Linked DNA regions of Drosophila melanogaster. The protein of the gene in region 1 interacts with the protein of each later gene in a pairwise test. Each region holds a gene or a part of one and is shown in the gene's direction. Other genes may lie near its edges.

Region 1 (6,481 bases):
AGAATATTTTAGTGTTAATAAAAATATGTCCAAATATTTGCAGTTCTTTTATGATCGAATATGGCAATGGCTTAATTAAACGTCCTTTTCCTCCATGATGATAAAAATCAAACCTAAAAATAAATAACAGCTTAAAATACCGGTGGAATATTTAAAGAAAAATAAAAACACAAAAAGAGAACCAAAATACCTTAATATCCTAATTAATACACGTATCGAGATCCACGTTATGTTTGTGTGAGCACGCAGTACATCATCAGTAGTATGCAAAGGATTGAAAATGCGAACCATGCCATTACAGGGATTCTGAGGGCATCTAGTGACCACAATGATTCATGACCTTGAAATGGGGTACAGCCCTTCTTAAGCTGAAATGTATACATTAGCATCCACACAGAAAAATACCCAGGATACGGCTTAACGCCCGCTTTATACTTATTGCAAAACCAAGCGATATCCATTGAATGCTCTCCTTCCGAATTACGGAAAACTATACTCAATTTCCCGAATTAGTTTATTTCCGAAAGCAGCATAGGTCTAAACTTCATAATTAGTATAAATGTCACCCAATGATTAAGTGTGATGTATTGGTAAGCCCAAATGCTAGCATCAAATTCCTGATTTCTGGACTTAGTTTTACTACATTTATACCCGTTGCTTTAAGGATGACGCACAAGTAAAAAATAGAAATAATAAAAAAGAGTAACTGATGACGATTGGCAATGAATGAATGAAGCCCCAGGACATTCAGACAAAGATGAACATTGGTAATTTCTTTATATTTTTTTATTACACATAGTCATAATACAATTCGCAGGTGCTCAGCAAGTGGCGATCAACAGCGTAGGTAATCCACCTGTTCGCTGCTTTGGAAAGTGATTTCCCAGTACAATTTAGTTAAGCTTCAATACAGTTTTCCTTCGATTCGCGTAATGATGATGTGCATATAATTTAGCTTAAAATTACTCAAATACAATATTGCATATTTTAAAGTGCTGGGGCATCGCGGTACAACTAAACGAGACATTTGCTTTCTTATTGTTTAAAAAATAAAATGGTACAAATTGCGTTGAAAATTCAGCTTGGTTGTGATGGTGGAGCAAACCTAAACTACGAGAAATTTCGGCAAACGAATTCGATGGGAAAGCGAATGTGTGATGGGAATGGAAAGCAGGTGCGGACATTTACAAAAATACATATATGGTATTCGGCCACTGTTTAGAAGTCGTACGAGTCGGTCTCATCATCGCCCTTGCGTACCTTGAAGATTAATCTGTAGATGATTCCGGCCAACAGGCCGCCGGCAATGGGACCCACCCAGTAAACCCAGTGATAGGTCCAGACGCCCTGCACTACGGCGGGACCAAAGGACCGGGCGGGATTCATGCTGGCACCGCTCAGTTTGATCTGTAAATGGTACACTTATTAACCTCCAGTCGGAGAACTCCATCACCTCGTACTCACTGCACACAAATGGCCAGCGGCGATGGCCAAACCAACAGCCAGTGGCGCTGATCCCTTGATATCCTGGCGTCCAGGATCCGAAACAGCCTTGACCACGAAAACCAAAATAAAGGTGATCAGCGCTTCGATCAGCACCGCCTGTGCACAGTTCAGGGAGGGATCAAAGGAGGATACTCCCAGGTCGCCACCAGCCACTCCATCGAGTGCCACCTTTATCACAGCCGCTCCAGCAATGGCGCCCACGCATTGGACGATGATGTAGAAGGCAGCCTTCAGAATGCTGATCTCACCAACGATCAGGAATCCAAGGGTGACCGCCGGATTAATGTGACAGCCACTGAGGTGGCCCAAGCCCTGAGAGAGAGAACAAAATAAGAGGATATTCAAGAATATATTTATTATAAGGCTCAATAAAAGAGGAAAAAAAGTATGAAGATCAAATCAAGGAGGCTAAGGCCCAGTCGAACATAATGTAGATAATGGCCTATCTCCACCTCCATCGGCGCTTGCAAATGTCGAGTTGACAACGCAACATCTTAACCATAGCTGCGCTCAAAGTTTGCCCTTTGCCATGAAGCTGATTGTGCGATTTTCCGAATTTTCCATTGCACAATATCGTTGCATATCGAACTGCCAGCGGATACAAGCAATTTGTCAGACGTGAGATGCACTCGAGTGCATTTATTGTGTTTAGCGTGTCTGCAAAGTTCAGGTGGAGCTGGCTGGGAAGTAAAAGTGATTCGGGGTTCTGTTGAGTCATTGCCCGTGAAGAGATCACATGGAATCACTTAAATGGAAATCGCATTGGATCGGATCGCCTCGCATCGCATCGCATCGTATTGGATTGGATTGGATTGGATCAAGTGTTATGAATGGAGCCCGAAATGCACTGTTCACTCTGCGCCCAAGGTCGATGTGCAGGCTTCTATGTTTGATATCTCTTTCCAGCCGTGTTTCTCTACGTTTTGGTGATACGAATTCGATTTCGATATGGATTTCGCGGTTCGCAGTTCGCATTGGACGCACGGCCAATGTCGTGCGTCGCTGTGCGTTTAATTAATAAATGCGCAAAAAAGAAAAAAACAAAAAAAAATGCCCGTGTGTTGGCTGTTCGGCCACAAAACGCTAATTACAAATGCCGCCAAGAGCAAGTTCGAGTCGCGTTTTGCGGCCCAAACGGCAATAGGCCACAAATCCGAGCAGCCACTACAACTCGAACAACTTCTTGACATTTTGGTTATGCGCATGCGTGCAGCGCAATTTCGACTTCGTCTATACTAAGACTAAGTTGCCGCCTTTGCTGCCGCCACTCAGCCTGACCTAATCGTTTGGATCTAAAGCTTTTAGCCACAATAGTTTAGGCCTATTGTTCTCGACTCAATGCCTCCACTCGTCTTAGCTGCACACACTCGAAGAGTCGTGAAATTAATCAAATTTATTGTCGAGCCCGAAACCCATAATTAAATTTAATATATGCAACGAAAGCAATCGAGATCGACAGACCGGCTGCGTGTGAAAACCGCGAATGACGGACTGACTGAACTTAGACGTGAGTCATCGATGAAATATGGCTCTAATCGAGTTAGGCCTATGTGATTACGCTACGAGTTTATTACGCATTTCGAATGGGTTAATTACACTATGTGACTTTTTAGTTCTAAGCCGATCTAATTAAAAAATGTTAAATATATTTTTAATTTTTATGAATTATGAATTGCATTATGTTTTTCTGTGTATGCAGATAACTATACCCACATGCTGTGCAGAGCGATAAGTCGTACATAGTACCTATCTCTTATCATCATGCAGCGTCAGATTTTCTGTTTCTTTCTTTATTGGATTTCTTTCTAATATACTTGGTTTCGAAGCATTTAAGTCAGTCTGTTTTTGGCACTCGGATTTAAAAGATCTCAGAATCGCAGCAATGCAAAAATCTATTATATTTTTGGTACTCCCGTTGTGTCTGAGTTCAAGTTATTCAGCAGCCTGCGAGGTGAGTGAAGTAGAGAAGTGGTTTAGAAATGCTAAATATTTACATTCACATATCTTCTTAGGGCGTTGAAAGCGATTCCCAATGTGCTGCATATTGCTACGGTGTCTTGAATCCCTGCATCGCGAGCATGGGCAATTTGCAACGAAGGGTTGAAGCCTGTGAAGCAGCTGTTGCAATAGCGAGAATAGCCCTAAATGACCGAAGACTGGACAATTTTGGCACTTCAACGAACTTGCAGCTGGAAAATCAAAATACTTCGCAACAACTGCTGACACACGGTACAGCAATGGGCAGAAAACTGGAAGAAAACGAAATTTTCCAACAACTGGGAAGCAAATACTACTACATCGAAAAGGAAGAGAAGCTAAACTGGCACGATGCTTTGGATAAATGCCACAAAATGGGTGGCCATCTGGCCAGTCTGCAAAGTCAGGAGGAATTGGATAGATTCAATAACCAACTTAATGGCCTGAATCGCTACTGGATCGACGTGACCAATCAGTTCAACGAAAGTGAATTCGTTTCTGTGACCAAAGGATCGAAGGCCAATTTTTTGAGTTGGGCCGATGGGGAACCCACAAAAGATGGAGAGTGTGTGGATATCCGAACATTCAATGGGAAAACTACCATGAACGATAACTCATGTTTTGCCAATCTCTATTTTATTTGCGAAAAATCTATTGAAATATAATACAAAAATATTTATCTCTTTGAAGTTAATATTAGTTTTTGATATCTGACATTTACCACATGGTTTATGGAGGAAATAAGTATAATGTTTATTTCAAAACGAACAAGTTGGAATAAGACTTTATTTACGAATATACATATAATCCTATATGAATTGACCACTATTTCATTATTTTGTGTCAGCACTCTCCGTGCTCTCAAGGTTTTCCATTGGCTACAAAAAGTCTGGCAAGACTCTTCCCCCGATCGAGATATATAAGTTAAGAACCCTCTTCTTGCGCTCTTCGTCAGGACTCACCAGCGCTCGGCTCTCGTGTTTTCGGGCCCCGTCAGCAGGCGACTCGGGGCCTGTCTAGTAACATGTTCGTGTAAGTTACGAACCCTCTTCTTGCGATCTTCGTCAGGACTCACCAGCGCTCGGCTCTCGTGTTTTCGGGCCCCGTCAGCAGGCGACTCGGGGCCTGTCTAGGAACATGTTTGTGTATGTGTGCATTCGGAACAAGTGCCGTTGGTCGCACTCAGGGTGAGGGGTCAACGGGGGAAGCGGATATAAAAGCAGCGGGGCGGGAGAAGAGGCCCCAGTGTCGAACGGACACATAACGGAACCGCTAGCAGATCGCGAACTGAATCTTAAAATAAAGCTAATCGTAAACTCGAACCCTCTTAACTATCTTGACTATTATTTGGAGAACCACAGCATGTTGGTTGTCATATCGAGGTGAGGTATGCGGCAGCGAGTGCCGAGAACCCTGATGCAAGTGGAACTTGCGTTAACTGGCGCCCGAGCAGGGACCGGCAATGTCCGGCCGATAAAAGTGATACGAAAAAATTGTGGAAATTTGTGCGTAAAAATAGTGGTGGTGTGCATAAGTCAGATTAAGATCTGAAATCCATAAATGAAAAAGAAGTGCTGCGTGAGCTGTGTATAAAATGATAAAATAGCAATTACCCGCTGCCGGGGGGAACTACGCCCATCCCGGGGCGCAACAAATATTGCATAATTCAATAAAAGGTGTAAAATTTCTAAAATAAAAATGTAAACCTATGTTGCGCCAAGACCTAATTTAAATTAATAAAACAACGACCCGCTACCGGAGGACGCCACGTCGCCCATGCCGAGCGCAAAAGTTGTACGATACCTATAACATAATTAAAACACGATCAACCCACTGCGGCGGTACGGCTTGTGGGAAAATTTTTTTTTTCTCTCCTTGCCAATTCGCGAGTGCAAAAGATTGTGTATAATAAACCAATAATTAACCATTGCAGCAGTTTACCTGCGGCAGTACGAGTAATATGAGCGCCCAGAGTGATAAGGTGGTGTGTGGCAGCTTGTTGGATACGTTAAGTGGTGTGGAATGCACCCAAAAAAAAACCGCCCAACAAGTTGTGTGGCGGCCGTACCTTAGTAGGCAACCAGCCAAAAGGGATACTACGGAACCACCGTGCCCAGTGCCGAAATAAATTAGAGGTCATCAATAAAAAACTGTAACAGCACGCACGCAAGGAAAAAATATTGCAAAATGGAATAGCGCACAAAAATTGTATAAACACATGCACAACACCACAATTCAAAGGAAAACAAGTATAGTACAATTTCCCCAATTTCCCGAAACGAAATGAATAAAAATTCTCTACAATACACTAATTCACCTTTTTTTACTTATCCCAATAGAATATTCATGCTGTAGGGGTACAACCTAAACGACGAAAACTAATAAAGAGCATACAAGGGTGAGTGAAATATTTCATTAAACTTTATTGCCATATTTGCTAAATTTAGAGAAATAAAGAAAAAGCAAAGAAGAACAGATATTCTTTTTTATCGGGTTAAAACCGTTGTCTCACATTTCCGTAAAGTAATAACAGTTAAAACCAGATCAGGAAAAATTTTCCACAAATCTGATCTAAGAAATTGAGACGTGGCTTTCACATTTAAAAAAGAAACGCGAAAAAGAATAACGAAAGTAATAAAAGTACGTTGTGGCAGCTAATGAAATATTCCCCCCATGCATACCCTATATAAAAAAAACATTAGTTAAAAAAAAAAAAAAAAAAAAAAAAAAAAAAAAAAAAAAGAATGAGTTAAGAAATACAAAAAGAAATACAAAAAAAACTATAAAAAAAATAATATAAAAAAATACAGATTATAAGAAATAAGAAATAAGAAATATAAAAAAATAAAAATATAAGTACACAAAATGTACCGTACCCCCACACACTACGTAGTCTTAGAACAACTTAGACGACCAGATATTTACGAATTGTCTTTTTGTAAGCGCGATTTCTGCATGCGGCGCAAATCCCGCTCACTGGACTGGCTGGGGTCGGCTT
Region 2 (6,922 bases), on another chromosome or scaffold:
GGATAGTAAAAAAAACGTATGGGTGGTTTCTTTTAGTCTAAATTGATTTATTTAAGTATATCATATCATGCGAGAGGTATTTATCATCTTGTCGTCTGCTTCGACAGCTTTCGTTTGGATGTTCAACTTGTACATTAAAACACACAATATCACAATCTTACGCAGGTTTACAAAACTGTATCTAATGTTGTGGGCTTGAACGCTCGGGAATACTTGCGAGAGTCCTGCCCTCCAGTGATTCTATCCAAGTGGATCGGTATGAACCATGATGATGCAATAAATAGAGGGTCTGATTGCTTATGTGTAAGTGATCTAGCCGATGTCATCTTGTGATTTTTAGAGAGGGACGCCGAGCAATCAGATGGTCTTTAGTTAGTCAATGACTTTGTGCTAAAATTAAGAGTAAATCAAATAGGGGAAATAAATAAATCAAAACGTATGAAAACTAAATAGACAGTCATGAATATGGGAATATGCGTTTCAGTGAATGTTAATAGACATGTGGAAACCGAAAGCATTTGGAAATAGACATAAATATGAAACAATTGTATTGGGGATTCAATTGGGATTGGGATTCAGGATTCTTTCTGTACGCGGTTAAAACAACTTAAGCTACAGCTAGTATTAACTAAGTAGGAACTGTCCATTACTTTTCCTTGGGCGCCTTGTCGAACAGGTACTCCTTGGCCATGCTGTAGGCCAGTCCGAGGGTCAGACATCCGACGACGGTTCCCTGGGCGGCGACTCGCAGCTGCATCAGGAAGACGCTGGTGCTCATCGTTCCGCGGTTCCGGTACTTGTACGCTCCAATCAATCCGGCGGCCACGAATCCGGTAATACCTGTGAGTGAAGGTGCGAATCACCGATTAGTTTCTATTGTCCATGCGGCGGATTGCTTGTTGTTGCTAGCTGACTGCGCGAAACAGCTGATAAAAGCCAGACGTTGCGCAAATAAAATCATACAAGTAAATACTAATTATGTGAATCTAGTGCTGCCAAAAATGAAGCTAGAATTTAGATAATATTATAGAATCACATAATGTAACATTTTATATTCTAACTAAAATATAAAGCTCTTTAGGAAACTGTTTATTTCAAGCAATATCCATATCTTCGGAAACTATTCGAAAATTTTTAAAGCGGCGCATTTTACTGTAATCTTTTTAATAGCTAAAACGATGAAATCTCTCAAATAGTCAGCACTTGTCAGCGTCAGCTGTTAATTGTCGCATACGCAGACAAGAGAGCTGAACATTCGAACACGCGCAAAGATCAGATGGCTACGTGACGTCACGGATGTGATAATCTCATTTGCCTTGCGATTTGCGTGAATTTCGAAATACTCCTGTTACATCATTCGCTCTCCAGAACGAGTTACGGATCATACTGCATTCACCGTTATGTCACACAGTGACATCAAAAAGTGACCCCAAATTGACGTTAAACTCATGGCCAAGGTCAAGATTAGCCGACTTCCCCGCCGCACACGCAATGTACATTCGTAAATGTGTGTAGATATGTGCGTATCTAGCTGGCTGCTGAGCCAAAAGTTTCCATGTGACGTCACGGCGGCAAAACTTTCGCTGTCCGGAAATTGGCAAAACTCACCCACAAGCATGAAGGGCGATTCCTTTGCTTTCCTGGATAATTTGTTGGCCTGAGCGGCATCCTCCTCGCTGTCGAAAAGGGACTTGGAACTCATTTTCACGAATATTATATTATGTACGCGGGCGGTTCGGATCGGTTTAATCGCTTGGCAACGTTCGCGAAACTTTCTGCAATGGACAGCAGTTCGAGCAATGTGTGACCAGAGCAAAAACTTATCGCTCACAGAAAGGTTTCCCAGAGTAAGCTATATTTAAATAGTCTATAAAGTTCTAAAGTTCTGCTAATCTGTAAAAATATTAAGACCACTTAACTACTCAGGTTATTGCTAAACATTAGATTGCATTTATTTTGATTATACACAATTAAAACTTATCAAGGGCATCGATAGTTTGGCTGCTGTTCTGGCCGCACTTCAAGATAAAAATACCGAAAGCCGCTATCAGCTGTTTGCAAGCTTTGCGCGCTTTTCCGCCAGGTGACGCTTTTGCCGTTTCTGTCATGACATAAGAAATTGGTATTTTTTTAAAGGGAAAGGGGCGGACTGCAGAAATCGACGTTGCTTTGCCTTGGCCGCTAACTCTGTTTTAAATTCGAGTGCTTTGACATAAATTGAAAGTAGAACAACCGTCGAACAGAATTTCGCGGACCAGAGTCGCAGCAATGACGGGAATAATTTCGATCGTAACGAGACGGCTGCCCCAAACTTTGGGAATGCGAGCCCTGCGGAGTAATGAGGTAAAAATTGTGGACGGGCTGGGGATTGCCGGGTGGAGGGGGCCCGTCAGGTGTGTGATATATGCTCCGGCGATATATATGTACATATCAATTTTTATCCCATATTCACTGCCCGCCTGGCGCTCGCCGATTATGTAATTGTATGGGTGTGTGTGCGTGCGCCGCTGAAAAATGGGAAAAACTTTTGTTTGGGACGCCCGCTGCACGTGACCCGTCAGCCGACGTTGCCTCCTGGTTGTGCAATCACTAATATTTGCTTCTTTCCGCCAGGTAAAGCGCTGCATCCGCCAATATTCTCGGTTAGTTGCCTGCGCCGCCCAGCAGCAGCAACTGCTTCGCCAGGATGGCTCGAATCGCTGCCAGGAGGCCACCAGGTAAGTCCTTCACTATCCACAAGAGTCCCTTCATCCAGAGTTGTTTATTCCTAGGCTTCTCACCTGGCAGGGAATCCACACCACGTCGAGCTTGTGGTCGGAGCAGACCGTCAATGTGCCACCCTTTGCGGACTCCATTGCCGAGGGTGACATCAAGTAAGACCACGGCACAGGGCTGGTTTCAAGCAACAGGTTCATGCTCATCTATTAACGATCAATTCCTGCAACAGGTTTACTTGCAAGGTGGGTGACTCATTCGCCGCTGACGAGGCTGTCATGGAAATCGAGACCGACAAGACGACGGTGGCTGTGCCAGCTCCCTTCTCCGGAACTCTAACCGACATTCTGGTGAAGGATGGCGACACCGTCAAGCCCGGCCAGGCTCTGTTCAAGATCAAGCCCGGTGCAGCGCCCGCCAAGGCAGCTGCTCCAGCGGCTGCTCCTGCGCCTGCTGCCCCAAAAGCAGCACCAGCTCCAGCTGCTGCACCCAAGCCGGCACCTCCACCACCTGCGGCCGGCGCACCAAAGCCACCACCACCGCCACCACCAAAGGCAGCCCCTCGACCACCGCCACCTGCTCCAGTGGCTGCACTCAAACCGGCCGTCGCCCAGGTGAAGGTGCCACCAGCGGACGGATCGCGGCAGATCCTAGGCACTAGGTCCGAGCAGCGTGTCAAGATGAACCGCATGCGTCTAAAGATTGCCGCCCGCTTGAAGGATGCCCAGAACACATGTGCCATGCTCACCACTTTCAACGAGGTTGATATGAGGTGAGTGCTTGAACGAACTGAGTGACGAAACTACAGCATGAAATTGAGCTATAAAACGCATAATCGTTTCTTTTTTAGCTATGCCATGGACTTCCGAAAGCAGAATCTGGATGCGTTCACTAAGAAGTATGGTATTAAGTTTGGATTCATGTCGATCTTCGCCAAGGCTAGTGCCTATGCGCTGCAGGATCAGCCCGTAGTGAACGCCGTCATCGATGGCACGGTAAACAAGCCTCCGCCCCGCCCTCCGCTTATCATATTCTTATCGCCCGTGACGTAGTTTGGATTGCCACGCTTTTTTAAATGGCCTTATCAGGCGAACATTTAGCTTATATGGTCGCATTTGTTTATGCAATTTCCCGTGGCGATATGATGAATGTGGAATTTTCTGTGTTGCCAAGCGCTCATAATTGCCTTCATTTTGCAGGACATCGTGTATCGCGACTACGTTGACATCTCTGTGGCCGTGGCTACGCCCCGTGGATTGGTGGTACCCGTCATCCGCAACGTGGAGGGCATGAACTATGCGGACATCGAGATCGCACTGGCCGGTCTGGCCGATAAGGCCAGGCGTGATGCCATCACCGTGGAGGACATGGACGGTGGCACCTTCACCATCAGCAATGGCGGAGTGTTCGGATCCCTGATGGGCACGCCCATCATCAATCCGCCACAGAGTGCCATTCTCGGCATGCACGGCATCTTTGAGCGGCCAATTGCTGTCAAGGGAGAGGTGAGGACTCCTCAACATTCGCTTAACAACCTGCTGTATTTTAATCATTGCATTGTCCAACCAGGTCAAGATACGTCCTATGATGTACATCGCCCTGACCTACGATCACCGAATCATTGATGGACGTGAGGCGGTCCTGTTCCTGCGAAAAATAAAGGCTGCCGTAGAGAACCCAGCAATAATTGTTGCCGGATTGTAATGTGAATTGTCTTAAGACACGTCCACGGCCTTAATTTGATATTAGCCTTCTTAATTTGAAACTGTCTTTGGTTATTTATTATTTCATTTTGCGAGCGTCACAAAAATTAGAAAATCAACCGAATTCGAACTACTCTTAGCAACGGATGTAGTATAATAAATCAAACGTGGATCTTTTCTTAAACATAACCTGTGCACTGAATGTTATTGTTAACCTAAGACGCTGCGATGGAATGTCGTAATAAATCGATGATGAATATTGACCAACCTCAATGCATTCGATTGTCAAATGAAGTGGTTTTTTTTTTGGACTAACGACCTATTAATGGCAGCTTGTAGCGAAACTAAAAATTGATCATATTGAATGTCTTGGTAATCTTATCTGAAGCAATATTTATATATATCTTAATACAAACTATAAACATTCTTATCAAATAATTTGTCATGTGAGTATGGCTTTAATTGAGTTTTAAGTGGATTGCGTCTAGCGAAGGTGATTATTAATTATCTCTGATGGCTTTTTGCACGGGAATAGTTTTGTATTTTTCGATTATTATTATTAATTTGGTCCCATCCGGTCTGTTCCGACTAATATACTGTACTAAAGAAAAACACTTTAAACCCGGGAGATGCAATATGCATAGAAACGGAAGAGATCACATGGCTATATCGACTCGGCTGTTGATTCTAATCACGAATTTATATGGTGGTAAATGTATCCATTGCTGCGTTGCAAACTTATCACTGAAAGCAATTCACTCTCTGGCAGGGATTCATTTAAATTGGCTCTCTCAGATAATTTTAAAGACTATAGGAAGATATTGAAATAAGAGATTTAAAGGGAGATAAGAGGGGAAATAAGAGTTTTAATAATGTCTGACGAATATATACATATATTAATTTTTTCTTACCATTTGAAGAAGTGGTGACCATTATTACAGATTTCGTAAATATCCCTTGGAAGATTCACACTTTCATTTGGAATCCCTTTTCCAAATATCCTCACTTAATAATAGCACAGTTAAGTAAAAGACAGTTTGTATTGTTTTGTTATTAGAGCAAATTGGCTTGTACAATTTTATTGATTTTTGTTTGGTATTTTTTTAATCTCGCTATTTCTAATGTTTACAATATTTATGTGTTTTTGAGGTTGTACGGTTGAAATAACAATTTAAATAATATATATTCGTATAAAGGATTAATTGTGATTTTGATGGATTTGTGCCAAATGATACTTTTGTATACATTAAACTCGTATTTTTAGCTTACTTATTGAAACTTAAATTTTTTTTGTAGATCTATCAAAGATTGATTAACACAGTTTTGATTTTGGTTCTTTTTTTTGTCCTGGTTGAAATTCGTTTTTCCAATGTTTTGCTTAACATTTTCGCTTATCACATGTGTCGAAAAAAAAAATATAAGAAATTGAATCTGACGACGATAATGATAGTGTAGGGAGATTATCGAAATAAAATATAGATAATTATACTTCTGTGTGCAAATGAATTGTGTGTATAAAATCACATAAAAAATGCGGCAATCGTTTCGTCTAAAATATTCCGCAATTCAATTGCGAAATTTCCAAGAGTTGAAATTTTAGACAAAAGGATTGGCATTATCTACATTAGTTTTCCTTTCTTTAGCATTTTGTGCGTTTTTTTTTTGTGCAATTTCTCGTATATATCTCGAATAATTTTAGCTTAACTAAGGGGATACAAAGTGTAGTTACGTGGTACAATTCGCGCTTAATCGTAGTTCCTGTTCTTTCTTCATTTCTTTAGGTCTTCATTTTGTTTCATTTGGGTCTAAAGAGGCCTAAGATGTATCTTTTTGGTCTGCCCGATGGGAAATTTCCATTATCTACGGTTTTTTTTTTTTGCTCAACGGGGGGCGTTGTTGTGGGCGGGGTCAGTCGGCACTGCACTTGGCTTAGTGCAACACTCTTAAGTCTAAGCAATTACACTAGGTATCCCCAACCTTGTGTCCGAAATGTTAACTTTTCGCGATTGTGGTCCTTTTACTCCTGTTCTGGCTATGGAATATATGCATATATGCTATACTCGCATACTACCTGTCCTTTTGTTTGGCTGTCTCTCTCTATCTATCTCTATCTGTCTCTCTCTTTGCGTAGATCTGGCCGGGAAGGATATGCTTTTCTAGCTTTCTTTGCTTTTCTTTCATTTCGAATGTCTTTCAATAGAACTATTGTACAAGATTCCATTTGCTACTCTTCGTGGGTGCTTCTCGCGTTTGTCTCAATGATTTTTGCAAATTTCCAAATTGCCCGAAACTTTTTTGGTAAATATGTTCTTTAAATTTTTTTTGTTTTATCGTAGTCCTACTAGCCAAAGGTGGGAAGATGCTGCTCTCTAGAAATGTTCTTGTGTGTAAATAAAATTCATAACTAAATTTCTGTGCCGGATTTGTCGGAGGGGAGGTTGGAGCTACTATAACTGCTACTTCGTTGTAAATTTGGTTGCTTGAATTTGCTTGAATTTGGTTTT
Region 3 (7,923 bases), on another chromosome or scaffold:
ATGAGCATGTTTAATTGACAATTAACTAACAATGTACTGCTACACGTGTAATAAAATAAAGCACATTAATAACCCATAATCATTTATTTGTACAAATTATGAAACTTACTTGGGGCGCTTCGAAAATATTTTTCAAAACGAAGTAGCTCCCAATTTGAGACTATCTAGTCTAGTCAAATTTGATATACTTTAGATGTGTGCCCTTGGCTATCACCAAGTCGTCCTTCTTGTGCTTCAGGGTGCAATCGATGAAGGCAAGGTACTTGCCCACCTTGGACAGATTGGCCTGAATCACCACATCGTCGCCCAGTTTGGCGCCGTTTAGAAAGTTTACACTAAGATCTACCGAAACTCCGGGATGACATGGCTTGGACATTAGGGCGTAGGTGGTTATCAAGTCCACCAGGGTCATGATATAACCGCCGTGCAAAAACTTGTACAAGTTCACATGATCCTGGTCCACCTTTAGCTCAGCAGTGCAGGCTCCATCGCCACCGTCTACGATCTTGACCTTTAATGGAATATAAGGATGAGATAATGATATTGGTAAGGAGACTCTATGGTGATCTAACCTTCTGTAGGTGACTTTCAAAGCCCGTTGACTTGTTGATAATCTCGGTGATGTGTTTAGCGAATTCGAGTCCCTTCTTGCGAGTTCCCATATTATTTATTGATGTTGCTTTACAGACGATCCGCTAGCTTCTATATAACTACAAAATGAATTAGTTTGTCCGATCGGAACGATTAGAAATATACTAGATTTAGTTTTGTAGATAGATAAGTAGTCGTAACGTGCACTTATATCTCAAGTGTCAGATAGTAATTGTTTTACAATAGAACAATCCAACTTTATTGTATGTATGACGTGTGTAAGTTTGGATGGGACTAAATCCATTAAAAAATAAATCACAGTAGTATATTAACAAATGGATTGCTTTGATTTTTTCAATATTTGATTTCATTATCTTCGAGTGCAGTTTTCCGCTTTTCGATGAAAAGTAAACAATTAGCAAGTATCAAAAAATAAGGTAAACATAATATAGCACGATATTATGAAATAGTTAGTATTTAGTTAACGGATCCTACCTAACTATCCCCGTACTGCCCGAAATTTACATAAAAATCTGAAAATCTAACGTAACACCTAACAAAACAATTTCAAAACAAACAACAGCTGTTTTGCGATAAGCAGAATCGCCAATCGATAAGTTAAAAGGGCAAATCGATATGCAAAGTCCTACCTATTTAAAAATTATCCGTTGGGATTTCTATAGTCTTTCATCTATTTTAGTTTTAAATATCTTTATTTTGTAAATTAAGAAATAACTAACTTAAGAAATAATAAATAATTAAACTAGTACGTCTTAAGCAGAGGTTCGAAAGATTTTATTTCGTTTTCTGACGATCTACAAAAATTGTTTTAAAAATCCAGTTTTTCCTTGTCGAACTGAATGTACTTGACCTGTCCGCCCTTGGCGATGATCTTTCCATCGGACTTACGCCTCAGAATGCAGTCCAAATAGGCCATTTTCTTACCGGCCCGCACGGTATTACAATCAATTTCAATAAGTTCGCCAGGTTTCGCTGCTGCAATGTAGCTTACATTCAGGTTGGCCGTAACTCCGGGATGGGATCCTTGAAATTTAAAAAAATTTCATTGTAGATTCTATAGATTGTAATAAACAAACTTTCAAAATACCTTTCGACATAAGGGCATATGTGGTACAATTATCAACAATTGTTGCCGTAAGACCACCGTGCAAAGTTCCTTGGCGATTCAAATGCTCATTGGCCACAGTGAACTCCCCTATTGCGCGACCATCTCCACCGCCTGTAATTTTAATCTGCGAATTGAAATTTGTTTACATTTTTGAATCTCTGAAGATCCCACGAGAGAGGTGAGCACTTCACGGTTATCGATTGCAGCGAGCTGAATTATGTAATACCATCACTGATGACAGTCAGCTGTTTTTGAGAGACTTCGACGGCGTCGCTTTAAAATCGGCTGCACAAATTGTTTAGAATCTTACCATTTTCAAGACGCGGTCGAATCCATTGGACCCGCTGGCGTACTCGGACATCTGCTTCACAAAGTCCTTTGAAAAGAAAGAACTTCAGTTATCTACTCAACAAGTTACATGGTGCTCTAACCATTCCCAGTTTCTTGGCCGCCATTCCGGTGGATTTGGATTCCTGAACTGAGCACGACGAAATGACGAAAGTTACTGAGGGAGAAATTTCACATGGCGTTCAAGATGTCGGGAAATGTGAGTGTATGCGTGCTAAATAGATATACCCACACATCTGAGATAGTGATTGCCGATTTCGCGCGGTTTGTTGTGCTCGCTCTGTTCGCACTTACAAATAATTCCTATTCTTCAATGAAATAGTGTAACTGGAATATCTTGTAATATAATTGCAGTTTGTTATTGCAATTAATAAATGTTTAATTTCGTTCTAGATTATCTGGATTTTCACCTTCTAGCCAAAGGATTCGTCCGCCAGGACTCGGTACACGACTTTGTAAACAGCGATTCCGATGGAGACTTTATAGCACTGAGCGGCTCCAAATCGGAAGTGATCACTCTGGAATTGAGCAGCAAGTTCATGGTCGTGGATCCCTTTCCGTATTTTGTGGCCATTTATGATTCCAACGCTGCGGAAACACGACCTCTGGACGTTTTGGCCAACAAAGTGGATCTGGTTGCCATATACGACAGCTGCGATGTCCTGGAGGCACAGCACTTGGCCCTGGACCCGGCATACACGGCTGTGTGCTCCGTTGCCGTGCCACCAGCCAGACTAACAGCTGTTAAGCGAGCACCCAAGCTGGCAGCTAATGGAAATCTCCTCCTGGGCTCCCTCAACACTTATGGATCCTTGAGCCTAATAAACAAGTCCGCTGAGTACAATCGTTGGAACCCTGTGGAAGGACTAAATATCGCTGAAACTCTGAGGGACACTCTGCTGCCTGAAGTGGACATCGCCAAGATAAAAGACTTTAAGAGCTATCAAGAATATATTAATCCCGCCTGGATCACTATGTTTGCTTGGTTACCTGATGATGCAGATGCCACTGGCCAGCATGTTTTGGTTCTGGGAACAGCCGCAGGAAGTTTGTGGTTGCTCACACTAAGCGCCGATGTCAAAACTCTTTTAAGTCATCAAGAAACGAAAACCTCAATGGGTCGTATCTGCCATATACAAGCTTTCAAGGACCTTCTACTGGTGGGCGATAGCAACGGACTCATTCACCTGTACCAATTGCCAGCTAAGGGAAATACAGCTCTCGCCTTAGTGAAGCCCTTGTGGGAGAAAGCCGATCGCATGGGTCTGCAAATGGCAGTGATCACTGAATGTCCCAGAATGGATTGCTATTATATAACCTGCTGCAAGGCGGCGCACCTGCTGACCTGGAGCATGCCAAGAACGGGGAGCACAGACTGCCTGCAAGCTCGGATCTATGTCGGCGGAATGAAGATCACCGCTCTCTGCAGCCTGGAGAACAGTAGCTACGTTGCAGGAACCGCTGGAAGCTGTTTGTCTTGCGTACAAATTATCCACGAGAATAATCAGCTTAGCCTGCAGATGCAATCGATAGCCATGGGTGTCCTTCAGGATTTCCAGGTGATGGGACTGTGCACCAGTAGGCACAAGAACTTAATGACCCTGTTACTCTACCGCAACAAGGAATATCTAAATGAAACTGTATCTCAAAAGAACCAGTTGGTTATGCAAGTGCTCAAGGTGGGGAATCAGGATCCACTTGATCAGCTTGTCAGGCATCTGGAATCCAATAAGCCCATGAATCACTATACCGATTTATTAGCTGGACTACGTCTGCACGTTTTTGCCGAGGAGAATTGGCAAAAATTTATGGACTTTTGTCCATTAGATTCCATTGAATTTGCCGATACCGCCACTGAAGGTCAGCTGCAGCAGCTGCAAATTAAATTTCATGTTCTTCAAAACGTGATTCGCCTGCAATCGAGCCACCTCCAGCTGACAGTTCACATCCAAAAGTCCCGGGATGAACTGCAGCTGCTCCTTGCGATGCTGAATATCACACACATAAGACTGAGGCTCCAGTTTATTGGGTCATTAAGTAAGAGATCACCATTCCAGGAGCAGGCGATAAAATGTATGTTCGAGGAGGCCCACAGACTGATAAATAAACTCAATGACGACTTCACGGAAAACCATGCCCTAGGATCCACAGCAAGGACATTCGTTGAACAAATGGGCAACCATATTCAGCACTTGCACGAGATGCTAGGTATACCTGTGATATCTAATCCCCAGAAGCAACTTCATCGATGCAGTGTGTCCTTTGTGGAGGTAAGAATTCACTAGAATTCATTTTAAGACAAGACTACAGTATCCGTACAGATCTCCCTCAGCTTGGAGCGACGCTACTGCAGCCTCTGCAACCGCCAAATCCTATTCGAGCTGGACAATCTGCAAGAACTCTACGAGTCGGGGAGACATCTGACATGTCCCGTTTGCCATGGAAGCTTTGCCACGGAAATGTTTAATGCATAAACGTTAAATTTATTCTCAATCTTAATTACGAAGTGTTTTGTGTGTCCGCCTCTAAGAGCAAAGCAAGTGAATCCATGGAGACACCTCACTCGGCTTCCAGATGCCGACACACATGGTCAGAAAAGGTGTGTGTGTCATTGTTAGTACTCGGAAACATAGATAATGGGAGTGGTCTCGATTAGCAGAATGTCCTGCTCCACCTGGCGAAGATCGGACTCCAGCTTGCTTTTGCGCTGCCGCTTGGCGATGCTGTCGATAAGGAGCGACATCGACTGATACTGCTTGGTCATCTCGGTCAGGCTCAGTCGCAGTCCCTCGAGGATCTCATTTCGCTCGGCCTGCTCCATCACCCGCATACCCGGCATTGGCGGCGGACCACTTGATTGGACGGATGCCCTGGTGAAACCCTTGATACCGCGGCACAGCTCCAGCAAACGTGCCTGTTCCTTGGCACACACCGCATTCATGTCGGCCAACATCCTCTTGGTTTTCTTGAGGTAAACAGGCACCTTGCCGAAATCCTTGCGGCAGATAAACTGCGGTACCAATCCGGAATTGAGTAGATCGTGACGAGCTCCCACGGGAGTGTCTACATAACGAGGTGGCGGGGGACAGGGAACCGTTTGTCCGGCACATATCTTGTTGCGTTTGATGAAGTTAGGTACCATTGCCGGCTTTTTGCCGCCACTGCCCGGTGGTGGTAGTGGGGGCATTGGCGGCATCTTGGGACACTTGTGGGTGTTCTCTCGCCGCCATTTGATGCCCTGGCTCTTGCGCAAATAGGCGCACGGTGGGTCAATCGGAGTGTGAGCACAGCCCATGGTGCGGTGGGCTGATTTCTTGGCCTCTGTCAGGACGCGGGTTCCATCGTTCTGGAGGATAATCGATAGCTTCTTGTCCTCCTCGTTAAAGCGTTCGCGAAGTCTCTTGGCATACTTGGCTGCCCTCTCCACAACAGCTGCAAAATTGCTTAAAGTTAGGTGGGAGGTAACGATTTTTAGTACGAATCCCTACGATTTTTGTAGACAAAAATTGATTCCTTAGGTCCTTGGGCCTTCACAAAGTCCTGCTCGCACTCGAGAATATTCTCATCGTGATGGGTGATATAAACCAGGGACATTGTAATACAAATATGTAAGGATGAAGGTAGGGAACTCGAAAGCGTGCTAGTTTACTGACTATTCGTTTAATAATAACAGTCTGTTTGGTGGAGACTCCTGCGTTGCCAAGTACCTCTGCGTTGACTTGGATTGATTTAACTCGAAACAAAGGTTGCTATAGGATTTCCAGAATAAACAGAAGGCAACATCGTTTCCTGGTGATATTGTAATATTCAGATATTTTCTAGCAATCGGAATTCGATATTTGTTCTGGATCTTTTAGGAGAACACACAAAATTGGTATTATTGTATATATATTTTTTAAAGCACAAAATCAAGCTACAGCTTGTGTCGCACACGAGTTACATTATTAAATTGTAAATAATTTGTTACCATATAAAATTCGTGTATATAAATATTTCGCTTGCGTATATAAAATAATTGTTTGCATTGTAAAATTAGCACTAAGATCGTTTGTCATGGTTACATTTTGATTCCGAAGCTTAACAATAAACATGGAAGTGTTGGAAGCACGATTTAAATACGAATACGACATAGATTCAGATACGGGTTACAGATTACAGATTCAAAACAGCACACAGAAATGCTGGTGCCGTCTTACAAGCTAGATATGTGGTTTAATGAATAATGAATTTGACGATGTTAACGAATGTAAAAGCCACTCGAAATTTGCACTGTTTTTGGATGGGGTCAGCTCTCCTCAGCTGACCACCAATAGGCACTACGAAAATCTCGGATCAGCAACATGGTCCTTCCTTTGCTATTGCACGTTGACAAGTAGATGTACTGGAGATATGATTTCATTTAGCTGAACCAGCAGTTTCACTTGTTGCCGCTGCTCTCGCGCTCCTCTCGAATCCTCTTAAATGCCTCCGTCTTGACAAAGTCCACGGATCTATAGACCACGCTGCTAGGCACTGGCGCTCGAGCTCCGCCAGCTTCGACGCCTGCGAATCGCATTCCACTAGCTCCATTTCCGCCTTGTGAGTACAGATTCCCCACACTCATGCTGGATCGATTTAGCAATGGCGGTTTGTTGGTCACATCCAGATCAAAGTACTGCAGCTTGTGCTCAGTCTGCGCCGCCGCTTGCTGCTTGGGAGCAGCTGCTGCCGTCAAGCTCATCATGGCAGCCGCTGCGGAGGCGGTGCGCTGATGTTGTACCGACATGCTGCCGGGACTGTTCGGATGATGCCGATGCTGTTGGCGAGGCAGGGTGCGGGTCTCGTGAAAGAAGGCGTTGGCTGCCGCCGGGGAGTGTACATCCGTTTCATGCGGCAGCACCATTGAGAGAGGGGCACCGGAGGAACGTCGCGTTGCCGGCGACATGGTAGCCGAATTGCCCAACTAAAAAGAAGTCATTAGTAAATTGAATATGGGTGTGCACAACGTTTGTCACTCACCTTATAGGCATTCGGTTTGCACTTCCTGTCCACACTGGGCGGTCCAATGGGCTGCTGCAGTTGGGCTGCACCCAGTTTATTGGTTAACTGATCTACGCCCACCGGGGGCTTTGCAGGAAACTCCTCCGGCGGTTTGTCCTCTACAACTGGCAATCCACCCGCCACCTTTGGCTTAAGTTTCCGGTTAACCGGCGGGCAGTCCGCCTGCTCCATGAAGTCGTATCGAAAAACATTGCCCTCCATCTTTGTGGGAGCTGCATTGGTGTAGCAGTGTCGAGGCAATGTGCGCGCACTGGTGGGCGATGATGCGACTGCCTGTGCCTCACCCATCAGGCCGGGATTCGCTGCCGCTGAAATTGCGGCCACTGCACCCAGATCGGCCGCCATGAGATTCGGTGTGGATGCTGCAATGGGATTGGAATTGTGCGGGCTGGTGACTGGTCGCTCGCCCAGCAGCTGGTTGACGTTGTAGTAAGGCTGCTGGTGGGACCTTGGAATGTCATAGCTTTCCTCGATGAAAGCGGAGTGCGCGTTGCGGCGGGCCACAATGGCCGGCGAAGTATTTTCCGTATCCGACAGCTGCGGCAGATCGCGAGGAATTCTGTCAATGCGCAGGATGATTTAGTAGGCCGTTTAAAATTGAATTGAGTGTGTGTTAACTCACTTTTCATTCTCCTTAAAGTCCAATATGAGATTATTTTTGTTCTTCAGCACCTTGGCCAGCTTATCCAGCGTTCCCTGGTCACCAGCCTCTGGCAGAGATGCTGCTCCTGCTAGCTTGGAACTCTTTTCAGCTGGTGGCACGATCGCTCCTCCTTCCTCGGGCATTTTAGAGAATCGCTGCGAGTACGTTAGCA

What was found. The genes of interacting proteins can lie anywhere in the genome.
Region 2: the proteins of CG7763 (region 1) and CG5214 interact in a two-hybrid assay, tested with the Drosophila melanogaster proteins (one large-scale study listed by BioGRID).
Region 3: the proteins of CG7763 (region 1) and CG12182 interact in a two-hybrid assay, tested with the Drosophila melanogaster proteins (one large-scale study listed by BioGRID).

Annotation. Positions count from the first base shown.
Region 1 is NT_033778.4:11,411,168-11,417,648, forward strand, and holds CG7763 (uncharacterized protein), read left to right. Parts: upstream 1-3,342; 5' UTR 3,343-3,388; coding exon 3,389-3,457; intron 3,458-3,518; coding exon 3,519-4,148; 3' UTR 4,149-4,295; downstream 4,296-6,481. Other genes in the region: drip, read right to left, coding at 228-368, 1,261-1,407, 1,465-1,818.
Region 2 is NT_033777.3:11,242,174-11,249,095, forward strand, and holds CG5214 (uncharacterized protein), read left to right. Parts: upstream 1-2,128; 5' UTR 2,129-2,268; coding exon 2,269-2,343; intron 2,344-2,613; coding exon 2,614-2,717; intron 2,718-2,771; coding exon 2,772-2,873; intron 2,874-2,947; coding exon 2,948-3,487; intron 3,488-3,565; coding exon 3,566-3,710; intron 3,711-3,914; coding exon 3,915-4,220; intron 4,221-4,284; coding exon 4,285-4,419; 3' UTR 4,420-4,689; downstream 4,690-6,922. Other genes in the region: CG17734 (uncharacterized protein), read right to left, coding at 1,382-1,702.
Region 3 is NT_037436.4:2,593,609-2,601,531, reverse strand, and holds CG12182 (uncharacterized protein), read left to right. Parts: upstream 1-1,952; 5' UTR 1,953-2,030; coding exon of another isoform or gene 2,031-2,096; 5' UTR 2,097-2,151; coding exon of another isoform or gene 2,152-2,175; 5' UTR 2,176-2,212; coding exon 2,213-2,267; exon of another isoform or gene 2,268-2,407; intron 2,408-2,461; coding exon 2,462-4,338; intron 4,339-4,389; coding exon 4,390-4,542; 3' UTR 4,543-4,682; coding exon of another isoform or gene 4,683-5,500; 3' UTR 5,501-5,556; coding exon of another isoform or gene 5,557-5,662; 3' UTR 5,663-5,690; downstream 5,691-7,923. Other genes in the region: CG16986 (uncharacterized protein), read right to left, coding at 170-511, 573-662; CG16985 (uncharacterized protein), read right to left, coding at 1,421-1,635, 1,700-1,844, 2,031-2,096, 2,152-2,175; CG16984 (uncharacterized protein), read right to left, coding at 4,683-5,500, 5,557-5,662; dos (daughter of sevenless), read right to left, coding at 6,486-7,010, 7,067-7,667, 7,731-7,923.